Linked DNA regions of Bombyx mori. The protein of the gene in region 3 purifies or fractionates together with the protein of the main gene of each other region. This does not show direct contact. Links are inferred from orthologs where the notes say so. Each region holds a gene or a part of one and is shown on either strand. Other genes may lie near its edges.

Region 1 (3,528 bases), on a different chromosome or scaffold from region 3:
GAACTTGACAGTTTGGACTTTGACGTTTAAATAGATAGTCCAAGAGAAAATAGCACATACAGCCAAGTTAGTCGACTGGTAAAAAACCGAAGTTATATTTGTAACTAAATTAATAAAATAGTGGTATTTTTAAAATAATATAGATGGTACAACGTTAATTAACAGCATTTTCTCATGTTATCAACTAAGATTCATATAAGTTAAAGTTAGTAGCATAAGTATAATAGTTAGTTAGTATATGTATAGTTGTATTTTAAACAACTAAAAAAATGTTTGGCTAAAGTATAGATCGAAACTCTAGCAATAATAGTGTATATTTTATATAACCGATAGTGAAATATTTGCGTATTCACATAAAAAAACATAAGAAGCCTCTGATAAAACGTGTTTATTTAAAGCGAAAATATTAACATCATTGATTCCAAAATTTCAATTAAGATCATTTTATTATCATCAAAACTGTTCCTTTTTTTTGTAAAATTATCATTATTTAGAAAATGAAACACAAAACCACCAGTAACTACTAAATTTAATCATTATACCAATCTAGGAACAGCAAACTGAACGACATGACCAGTAAGAAGAACAGAACATATACTCTTAGGCCTGCGTTTCTTTGTATAGCTTGCTTAATCTGTTCATTGGCATCCTTAACGTTTTCAGTTGCCCCGACAACTGTATTCGATATTCTATCTATGTCTTGTTCTTGTTGTAAAACCTGAAACATATTTACACTTTTTACATTTTATGTCAGACAAACTGTTTGTATATCTCATTATTAAAAGCTACCTGCCTACCGCTACTGTTAATTATACTTTTACAAACAGTAATATCAATTTGAATCTAAATAAATCAATTAAAGTATCATGGATTTGAAAAATTTATTTACATCCAATAGTTTACGTATGAAAGAACATCCAAATATGAATATTTTAAGATCAAGATAGTTATGATATGTATGTACCAGTATGTGCAATTTTATAAAGATATAATACACAGACTATAATAAACAACATTCATCCTCTCTGGTGGCAGATATTCTTAACCGCTACTGTTAATTATACTTTTACAAACAGTAATATCAATTTGAATCTAAATAAATCAATTAAAGTATCATGGATTTGAAAAATTTATTTACATCCAATAGTTTACGTATGAAAGAACATCCAAATATGAATATTTTAAGATCAAGATAGTTATGATATGTATGTACCAGTATGTGCAATTTTATAAAGATATAATACACAGACTATAATAAACAACATTCATCCTCTCTGGTGGCAGATATTCTTTTCTTGTAATCTGTTTTTTTTTTTAAATGGCTTATGTATTTATTCAATTTTAACCTTTTACCTTTTCAGTAAATATTTCTTGAAGTTCTGCAATGTGTAGTACTTTGCTTTCAATTTGTTTAACTTCTTCCGTCATACTGTTTAGTTCATTTAACAGCTGTACATTCTCCGACTCAAACATTTGCAACTCTTCTGAAGTCAACTCTCCTTCATCAGACATAATTGCCATCTCATTCTCTGATAAGTCTAATTTTGTTTTTGTATTTTCTTTTTCATCTTCTGTCTCATTCTCTTTTTCTATTACCTTATCTAGTGTAAACGGATTAGGAATACTAGATTTGGTCGCTGGTAGCTCAAGTCTAGACAATTTTCTCATATCTAAAGCTCGCTTAACTCTCATTGCTTTCAATTCACTATGCACTTTACAAACAGCTTTTAAATAAGCATCAATTAAATCTACGACTGAGTCCATATATTCCCTAGTTTGTGGGGTCACTGTAGTTCTTCGATTATCATTCCTGAACTCTTTTAGCAGGTGTGAGCATGTGTTCATGATACGTTGCGCACCGGTGTCTATTTGGTCGCGCTCTTCATCAGACATATCGTCTCCAGTAACATTATTGAAGAAGCTTAAATATTTATCGCGGTGTTCCAATAAAAAGTCCCTAAGCTTTGTAATTTGTGAACAAATATCCTTAGCTGTTGCCATGAAAGCATTTTTTGATTTCACCCTCAATATGCGTTGCTTATCTTCGCTAATCGGACTGTGTATGCCGAAAGCCTTGTTACGAGTTTTAACAGTTTTTATGCAAGCCTTAAATAATGGTGTTATATCCATTTTAAGAGGATTTGTTTATGTTTTAAATGTTTTTTCCTTCAATAACACGTAAGTTTTACTCGTTTTTGACAAATTGAATTGACAAATCAATAATGTCCTCACAGAGTAGACACTAACCAAATTCTCTTTTTAAAATTATCCAATTGAAAAGGCAAAGTAAGCATGGCTTTAAGTAGTAATAAATATTTTAATAGTAATAAATATTTTAATCTGTGATGGCTACATGGACTTTTTGGCGGGAACACGTGGAGTGAAGTTGTGTGATTTGTTTTATTTTGTCTATTTAGTGTTTCTTCATGTTAGAACTGGTCTTCTTGCCATCCAACCATCTAACCATCATAAGTTTATTAAGAAGAATAGTTGTTGCCTAGCATTAATTAGTTAGTCGTATAATTTTATGTGAAAAAATAAAAAGTCAGTATGTACATCCGAAGAAAGTTATCAGGTCATAAAATCCCTTAAAAAAATTATTATACACAATCTGATCTGAAGTCTTTTGCTCGTAAATTTACAGTAGCCGAAAGCATTTCAGATCGAATGGAGACGGAAGAGAGACAGAAATAAATGTTACACCACTCTATAAAGCTTCTGTCGCTTATACAGGGTGCCCTAAAAAATAGTGTCAAGCCGAAGTCCAGAGGTAGAACATCACTAGGGCTATCCGAACCACCCCCATGTACGTTCCGCGATTTTTAATAGTTTTCGAGTTATGATTTTTTAAATATATTTTTTTATTTCTATGTTAAGGCACTTTTTTGCTCACTGTGGCGAGAATAGATAAGGTACATGCCTGATATTTGAACACTTGCTTTTTTTTAAAACTCGGTTTCAAAGTTTAGAAAAAATACACAATTTTTAACTTTTTTGTTTCTTTTTTTTATTAGGTTTCACATTTGTGTTATAATGTATGACATATCAGCTATGAGAGCTTCGCTCAGAGCGTGGTGCAGCAGACACGATCAAATTTAGGTCTGTTAGAGAACTGTCTAAGCATGAAGATGCTTAGACAGTTCTCAGTTCAGTTGGGTGAATTGAATTTAATTCAGTTCAACTGTTGGAGTTTGAATATAAATGTAATGGCAGGCAGCACTTGACGCATGATTACAGATTTCGAATATTAGAATTATTTTAAACGTTTAAAAAACAGATGATTGTATTCTCGTAAGAAAAAGTCAATACTTCTAATCTAGACACGGTCAAAGAAACATGTAAGAAGTTTTATAAAAATATAAAGATAATAATTTTAAAATGGTGTTCAAACTATCTGCAATATAATTATAATGAAGCAGTGTGTTTTTAAATAGCCCTCCATCACCTACAGAACCCAATCACCTCAAATTTAACCATCCAACATCAACCCATTGAAGACAGAGATTTAAAAGATATATATACAAAGGC
Region 2 (4,307 bases), on a different chromosome or scaffold from region 3:
AACCAAACTTTATATGAGCAGCAATCACTGATCAGTGGACCACAGGGTCCACTTGGTTTTAGATGCCTGTCAGTCTATATCACCAAGTAAGTGCCACGGACCACACTAAAGTGAGGTGAATGTATCAATACTATACTCAATAGTCACATATCTGGGCATGAAGTTAAGGTCTCAATTATATTGCTTCCAGCATTTTAATCGCCCTGCAACACTGCTTTGTAGCATAAGGGATACGACGGTAATACCAACTTGTGTGGGCTCTTATTACGCCCAACCACCAGTAATGATGCAAATCATAAAAATGTGCGGATTTCATTTTTATCATACAATGTTAAGTATAGTCTTCAATATATAAATAATTAATGCTAGGATTTTTTTATCGGGTTGATTAGAACATTGGCATAATTGATTCAAATAAAATAGGAGTGATAAGCTTTAAGTTAATTTACAAAAAAAAAGTATTTCTTCACTAGTTTCAAAAGCTAACAAAATACGCTTTTATAGAAAATCCAACTAAAAATAGAAAATAAATTTTAATAAATTTGAATTAAAAATAGTGTAAGAAAAAATGATTTTATTGTAAAAAAGCATGGGGTGCTTTTCAGGATATTATCAAAATAACCCTTCTACTCATATCTGTTCATAAAATATTTATAACTACTTGAACTAGTCGTTAAGCCGACGTTTTTAAGGTCAAAATCATGTTCAGAGATTCCGTTACTCACTAACATACATACATCTGAAGTTTAAAAAAGTTTCATCTGAAGTTAAAAAAGTTTCAACTGTGTTGTTGTTGACAATATTATGCTTCAGAAGTATAGAAACAACAAAAGTGGTTTCTATAATTTTACATTATTTTTTTTGTATTACTTACCTTGTTTCTTGGGTCTTCCTGCTTTGTGTTTCCTCTTCCATAGAGCGGGATCACTTTCTCTCTGCTGATGGCAGCCTTGCAAACAGGACAGACTTGCCGACTGGGTCTGGTTTCCAACCATTGATGTAAACATGGCCAGCTGCATTGTAAACAATATACCATCATAGTCTCTTTGAAAAACACTAGTGCGCAATGAGTAGCAAGTGAACACAAGATATGGTTAAACTCAGACCTTGCATTATAAATCATATTATATAATCTCATAAAATATGCAAAGGTTCTCTAACAATTTAACAAGTTCAAGTTTTCTCTGTTGCCAATCAGCTGACTTCATTTCTCCCATTGAATTCATTTGGCATGAACGACTGGGAGGGTAAAAAATTGTTCACCAACAAACTCAATGTTTTGAAATTATTGGAAAGTAAGTGGAAAAAGCTGAATAAAGAATATTTCAGGAAATTTATTTTGCCTAGAGATATGTGTGAAGATAATTAAAAAAACACGAGGGACATTTCAATGAGGCTAAAGTTTAAATAGGTAAATATTGATATTGTATGTTAAATTCTTATTTGGTTTAGTTTTTAATTTTACTATTTTTTATTAGACTTAACTATGTTTGTTTCTAAACAGTGTTGTGTTTTTAAGTAGCTCCAAATATATAATATTATTTTAAACTTTTATATGATAGTGTATATGAAATTTATTTTACAATACAGTATTTTCATAAGCATAAATTTTTTTTTATGTACTGATTAACAGTAATATAACAGTTTATGTTGAACAAGTTCTTATCTAGAAATTCAGTAACTTTTCTGTTATAGTAGGTAAACTAAGCCAGCTAAACTGATCTGAGCCCCTGTCTAAAGAGTGTGCATCACTATGGTCCAATAATTGGCCCTACCAGCTTGAGGACGCTTTACCAGTAGATAAAAAGCTGTATTTACTTTTTACAATATAGGAAAATTTATTTTATAGCCTTCTTTGGCTCTCCTTGACAAAACAAAACTATAGTCTTGAGAGACCCTGACTATCAAATCAATCAAATCTGAGAAAACATCAGAGGGCTGATGCTAAAGAGAAAAAGCATTCAATTTTCAAATGTACATATTGTATGCCACCACCTTCTTGAGAGACCATGGCTCTACTAATCTATTTAATGTAAATCCTGATTTTAAAGATCTGTTTTAATATAGAATTAATTTTGATTAAAATAAATTGTCTTTTAACATTTTTAATAAATCAATAAATAGATAGATACAATTATGTTGTAGCACAAAGCACAGCTGTTCCCATTCATAGTTCATTCCATTCAGTGTATTGATTTTACTGCATTACAAGGTCAATGGTAAGTAATGAGAATGAATAATAATGAGCATAGTTTAATGCAAATTATTCAAATGATATTTTACCTTTTCAATAGTTGTGAATATTCATAAAAAATCTTTCAGCCATTAGATTTAAATCTAATTATTTACTGTATTAATTACGACAATGAGCTCACCAGAAGAGGTGGCCGCACATACTGACGACTGCATCACGGGCTGTGTCCAGACAGATGTTGCATTCTAGCATTCTTTCGTCATGTTTGTCTTCTTCGCCACCAGCGTCGCCCCCAGGCGCCGAGGGGCTCGCTCGCGCTTGACTAGTCTCCGCCATTTCCCTACATTACGAAATATTTAATAATCACAACTTGACATTCTTTTTTGGAACTGAAATTTTCAATTTATGAAGCGTTATCACGATACTGGTGTAGTGACGTTCGCTTGGATGTTATTGTGACACGACAAAATATATTCAAATTATAAATTTATAACAAGTTATTGTTTGCAGAGAAAGGTCAATAACAATACAACACTTGCCACTTTAAATTTGATGTTTGAGTTTATTATTTCATATAGAAACTTGTTAATAAATAAATAAATCACATTTCCAATCCCGTGGTATGCTGATTGCTGATCTGTCAGTAGATGTCATTCAGCGTCAAAAAATCTTGATTGTCAATTGTCAGCTGTAAGGACAAGGGTCCCATGACAGTCGATGTTTATGGAAAATATTGGAACTCGCAGTACATATCTTTATCTTTTCTACAGTATACGATATCTGATATGGGAAGTAATTACAAAAAAGCGATTAGGATTTATTTTATTTCAATTATTTTTTAAATAAGGAAAGATTTGTAATTATTTATTTCGTACCTTTACCAATGAATGGAAAATTATTAAAATTATGCCTCTTTAAAAATAGAAGTATATTTCTAACACTAGGTAATACTAAATTAACCCTTAAGATCAGATGAGTTGGTTGTATAATAGAGTTATCTAATTATCTAGGGTAGGCCACACGCTGGTGTTTACACGCACTTTTTATTTATGTTGTCATAATTACTAAAACAGTACGAGTACATTTTGAAAACAAGATAAAAAACCACTTATTAGGTATATTAGTTTAATCAAATATAAAATTACTGAAAAAATTATGTTTTCATGAAAATTAGTTTCATTTAAGTATATCATAAAATATTTCAAAACACCTATGCATAAATTGTTATTCATATCTACGAAATGAAATTAAATGAAACGGGTTGAGAAGGGATGAAATCTCAATAGAATGGTGGTTATTTACGGAAACTTTTTCAGTCTACTTTTTAAAAGAACCCAAGAAGCTACGTCCAGCAACTTTGTTTCATTTTCCTACATTTGTGCACGTTAACAGAGGATAAACAGTTAATAAATCTTCTTTATTATACATTTAAACATGAAGAAACGTTAACACAAACACAATTCTATTCGCGCTCCCGTCAAAAACTACTCAAGAATTAATTTTGACCAACCAAAGACATTTTTTTTTGGTACAATTTTTCCTTAGGCCTATACAACCTTGTCATTTTTAAAAAAAGCCGAGCCCTTATATGATTTATATTATGTCCTGAAATAAAAAAATCATTACGGCCGAAGCCAAGTCCTTTAAAATTTCTTCCTGAAATAAATTTTTTAATAAGGCCGCAGCCAAGTCTTGTATTATTCCAATCCTGGTACCAACCAAAGACAATAATAATCACTACATACCGTAAACAACCATTAATCTTTACTCTTTGCTATTAATCAATGAAATCAACGAGAACCAAAAGGAAAATGGTTGAACGATCGCTACTCTTAGCACCCATTCGCCGATAGAGAGAAATCCAGTTTTAAAACAATATCGTAATTCTTTATTTAAAACGTCTAATAGATAGTTTTGACTCTAAAAGTAAGTTTTTTTGAAATGAAGTGCAAAATATGTTGAAAAACAAGTGACGTCACGTCAAGAATCAGCTGAGGTGCGAGGGAAGTTCTTCTTAAAGGTGGTGGTAGAAAAGAATCATTAAAAATGGGAGGTGCAGTGAGTTCAGGGCGTGATAATAATGAGTTGATTGACAACCTGATGAGAGGCAAAT
Region 3 (4,292 bases):
TGTAAACACATAGACATGATTAATCTCACTCACAGGCAAATTTGGAGCAATGCAGACAATTTAATTTCTGTTGTTGAAATTATTAAATACTGGCCACAAAACTTAATAAATCCTACTAAAAACATTTATTCATTTATTTTTATTAATTGAGATACAATCAAGAAACTGTGGTCACATAAGACCGGTTTCTCAAAACAATACCTTAACTTCTTCAGAGGTAAGAACGAAACTATTAGATGTTGATTTCCAGTAAGTAGTAGTTCAGTGATGATTAATGTTGCTTTATTAATGTGGTTTGGAACAAACAATAAAAAAAATTAGCCCTCTGACATTCACTGCTGTACATAAGCCTCCCCCAAGACGGAGGTGGGGGTGAGGATTATAGTGATAATATGCTGCTATACTCGTGATTAGAATTTAATTCAGAACAAACAACGAATAAAAGTAATTATAAAAAGATGCATTCGCCCAGGCGAATCTCCATATGTAGTGACTTTCATTGAGTGTCTACTGCCTTTACTTACTCTGCTACATCTCTGATTTCTTTCTGTATATTGATAGAATCAATCACAAACACAATTCCCTTAGCACTACTCTTGTGCTGTTCAAAGAATTTATTTCTCAGTCTCTCTTGTCCAGGCAGATCAACTATTTTCAATGTTTTCTGTAATAATAAAAATCCAGTTAGGTAAGTTAATAAAATATTTCTTTTACTCCTTGAAATCATGGACACCAACAATGGGAAACCCATTGCCAATCATAAGACCAGACCACTTTCAATAGGCAACCAAAACAAAACAAACTTAGTTATTATGGATCTTTTTTTTTTTTCCTACCTTAGCTGATAGCCTTAGAGGCTATTTCAGCGTAACCGTGGCTAGTAGGTGAGCTCACGGGGCTCAAACCTGATGACGTTGCTAACACGAACCCTAGCAAGAGCCGTGCTTCGCAGAATCTACCACCGGATCGGAAACACGACCCACTGAGAAGATCCGGCGAGAAACTCAGTGGGCTGTGTCTGAGAGTTAATTTACTCGTCGAGCCCTTCGTCGAGAGCGACGGGTTCGACGAGAACGGTGACCGGTGCTTGAAGTACCTAAAAGCACCATTAGTGGATCGGGAGGATCCGAGATGACGTGTTTTGGGCGACGTCGACTGCTTTCCATTCTGTCCACAGGATCGGGAATGTAGTTACCAGCGGCCACGATGAGAGGGTTCTCGTGTCGTGCCGCTTTATCGAAGTGATGGATCTTCAATAATGAGTCAAAATAATTAATCAATTACTATTTTTGTTAAATTATAATGATTAATATGCTAAATCACTAAATAAAATAATTTCCAATATATATTTCTAACGATTTTCCAATTAAACCACAGTCAAAATTGCAACACATGACATCATGCGTTAGTTTATATATTCATGGTTATCTCGTCGTTCATTTATAGTTTAGTAACCTAAAACTTTAAAATACTTATACAAATACTAACATTAGAAGTTATATACTCTTCAATATTTTCTTTCATAGAAGTAAAAGTCTGTCTGTATTGAGAGTAAGCGAGTCTTACAAACAGCAAAGTCTTGCCAGAGTCTGATAGGCCCATTAACAATACTGAGTTGCGAAGAGTATACCTTCGAGAGAAAATCCACCAAAATACTGAAATAAATTTTTTTATTAAAAATATGATTATTTATAAACTACAGCATTTATATTTAGCCAACAAGTTCTGTTGTAAACATGGTGTTGAACATTTGACCCCAATAGCTTTATGACTGTAAAGCATCATTTTTAAGCTGATTACAACAATTCTACTTTCAAAATTTGTCAAGTGAAAATTCAATATGAAATAAATATTAAGCAAACAAGCCTGTTTTTCTGTTGTTTTCTAAGCAATCGAATAAAAAGTTTTAATAATGCACCCATAAACTACGTAGACAACTTAGTAACCCTACTTATCACTATTATCTGTGAGGTTACTCGAGCCACATATCAGAAAAAATGTGAAGTTAGCATATTGGAAAAATCATCACATCTGTTTACCAGCAAACTAGATTCTAGAGCTGCCCAATGTTGACATTCTGAACTGAGTTAGCCATGCTGCAAATTAACAAGACCTTCCTGTAAAGTCACTAATTACTTGGCAGTGCCTTAGAATGTTTGTAGATAAATAGATTACCCTCCAAAATCACTTTATGGCTTTAAACATTTAACAAACCCCTTAGCACCAAATTACCTATGGCACAATAACTTGAGTTTAAAAATACACAAGCAGAAACGATCTGTGTAGTTAATAAATTCAAAATATCAACTTACTGAGGGTTACTGCTAGAACAATAAGGCTAAGTAAGGTTATGTATCGTGGATCGTTCAGGATCGGTTCTGTATGAATCTTTTCTTTAACCACTTCAGATTCCATTGTAGAGTTCTTTCGCTTCACACTCACTAAGTCACTAAATTAATATGTACTTTAAAAAATTAAACAAAGTGAATGTACTGCTCTAGGGTCTAAAGTTAAGTATAGTCTATGGTCTAGTGTTTCGTGATTTCGTGTATACTACCATAGATTATACACTTAAACTGTATACCATAGATTAGTAGTAGTTTTATTTTCCAATTGGAAAGGCAAAGGTATCATACCATATAGCCTAATCTTTTATATATTTCTTTATATGAAAAATGATTTTATGAAATGAAGTTGATAATATGAAACATGGCATGAAATGAAATGAACTGAAATTAATTAAAATGAAATGAAATCATGTGAAATGAGATGGGATGAAATTATGGAGGGTAGAGGTAAGGAGGCGCCATCTTGTATAGGGGACAAGTTGAAAAAGTGTCGCATCTGTAAACAGCAAATTATAGTTCGAAAATCACCGAATTAGCGCTAGTGTCGCAAGGGGAAATAGTATGAATATAGAAGTTTTAAACTGAGTGTAGTGTGCTGGATTGCAGTGAAGGCTATGTTTCGATTTACACTGCGAGCACTCTTCAGTGCTCTCACTGCTATTCGTTACCTACGTTAAGGACTGACAGTATATAGTCGTAGTAACTTAAGGAATGATTGATGATACATGATGGTGAATGGAACGGAGAAATGATACATGATTTCATAAATCTTCACTTCAGCACTTTTACTGTGCATAACCTCATTTCTATAATACGGTTATTAAGTTATTATAGATGAAATTGCTGGAAAATCAATATTTTCTTTTACTAAAAATATACTTACTTTAAGCGATTAATTAAACTGACAATAACTTGAATATTCTATTTTCAAATATAAATAAATTTAAACAAGATTTTTTTGCTGAAGTGAAAACACCGCTATGACAACGTCGATGACAGTATGCTGTAACTCTTCGATCAACAGTTACTATTGTTGATCGAAGCTGTAACTGTACAGGAACGGCTTGGCTGTATACTAATTTGACGTCACACTTTACAATGCTCGCAGTGCAAATCGGAATAAATATACCAGTCTTTTTTTTTTTTTTTTCACAGGAGAAAATCGCCGGATCCCCACCCGCGTGGCAGGTGGGGTATGTGGGAGTTGAACCTCACTAAAAACTCCTGCCACTCACAACCGGCGCCCTACCTCGGACCGGGCCGGAGCCCAGTCGGGGCTATTGAAACGGCGGGACAGGGTTGACGCAGAGCACATTACATCCATCCCACCGTCCCACGGACGCCGGACCGGCGGCCGCCAGCGACACGACCACCGGTTCCCTCGTTCAGCGGGCCGAGAGCCCGCTTTGATGGCGCCGCGTTACACCTTCCCCCAGAGCGGTCGGGGGATATACCAGAAGTGTAACAGGTTATGGCGCTTAAGTGTAACAGCTAGTGTAACGGCTTATGGACACTTTTTAATATACTGAGATGGTTCTCCTTACGTATAACCTCCAAAGATGAAATATAATCTCAGTAAAATGGTGGTCATTTATGTAGGTACTGAGACTTTTTCAGTGGACTTTTTGGAGGATACCGGAAAGTTACGTCCAGCGGCTTTCATTTTCCCACATTTGTGCACTTTCACAGATATTAAACAGTTAATAAATCACAGTTATTACCCTGTTAGGCTGAACCGCAACCTATTAACTCTAAACATTGACAAAACCAAATTTTTAACATTTGCAAGCAGAAAATCTGTCCAACCCCCGCGTGATTCTATTACTCTCAAGGCCCATGTATGTAATGGACGATATTCCGCATGTAATTGCTCGGAGATTGCTAGGACTGATAATATCAGATACTTGGGGGTGTTGGTGGACAGCTGTTTCAATTGGTATGATC

Evidence for each region. The genes of interacting proteins can lie anywhere in the genome.
Region 1: the proteins of signal recognition particle receptor beta subunit (region 3) and syntaxin-18 purify together in Homo sapiens (affinity purification with mass spectrometry; 3 studies listed by BioGRID and IntAct, counting the BioPlex papers as one, with this or other methods). This does not show direct contact. The link is inferred for Bombyx mori from reciprocal best matches to the Homo sapiens genes SRPRB and STX18.
Region 2: the proteins of signal recognition particle receptor beta subunit (region 3) and ring finger protein 5 purify together in Homo sapiens (affinity purification with mass spectrometry; 3 studies listed by BioGRID and IntAct, with this or other methods). This does not show direct contact. The link is inferred for Bombyx mori from reciprocal best matches to the Homo sapiens genes SRPRB and RNF185.

The regions. Positions count from the first base shown.
Region 1 is NC_085127.1:13,549,923-13,553,450, forward strand, and holds syntaxin-18, read right to left. Parts: upstream 2,271-3,528; 5' UTR 2,131-2,270; coding exon 1,354-2,130; intron 719-1,353; coding exon 530-718; 3' UTR 512-529; downstream 1-511. UniProt on the Homo sapiens protein: Syntaxin that may be involved in targeting and fusion of Golgi-derived retrograde transport vesicles with the ER.
Region 2 is NC_085116.1:17,094,570-17,098,876, forward strand, and holds the start of ring finger protein 5, read right to left. Parts: upstream 2,812-4,307; 5' UTR 2,734-2,811; intron 2,535-2,733; 5' UTR 2,531-2,534; coding exon 2,376-2,530; intron 1,014-2,375; coding exon 875-1,013; intron 1-874. Other genes in the region: protein IWS1 homolog, read left to right, coding at 4,241-4,307. UniProt on the Homo sapiens protein: E3 ubiquitin-protein ligase that regulates selective mitochondrial autophagy by mediating 'Lys-63'-linked polyubiquitination of BNIP1.
Region 3 is NC_085114.1:6,494,493-6,498,784, reverse strand, and holds the start of signal recognition particle receptor beta subunit, read right to left. Parts: upstream 2,802-4,292; 5' UTR 2,416-2,801; coding exon 2,313-2,415; intron 1,656-2,312; coding exon 1,489-1,655; intron 665-1,488; coding exon 525-664; intron 1-524. UniProt on the Homo sapiens protein: Component of the signal recognition particle (SRP) complex receptor (SR). Ensures, in conjunction with the SRP complex, the correct targeting of the nascent secretory proteins to the endoplasmic reticulum membrane system.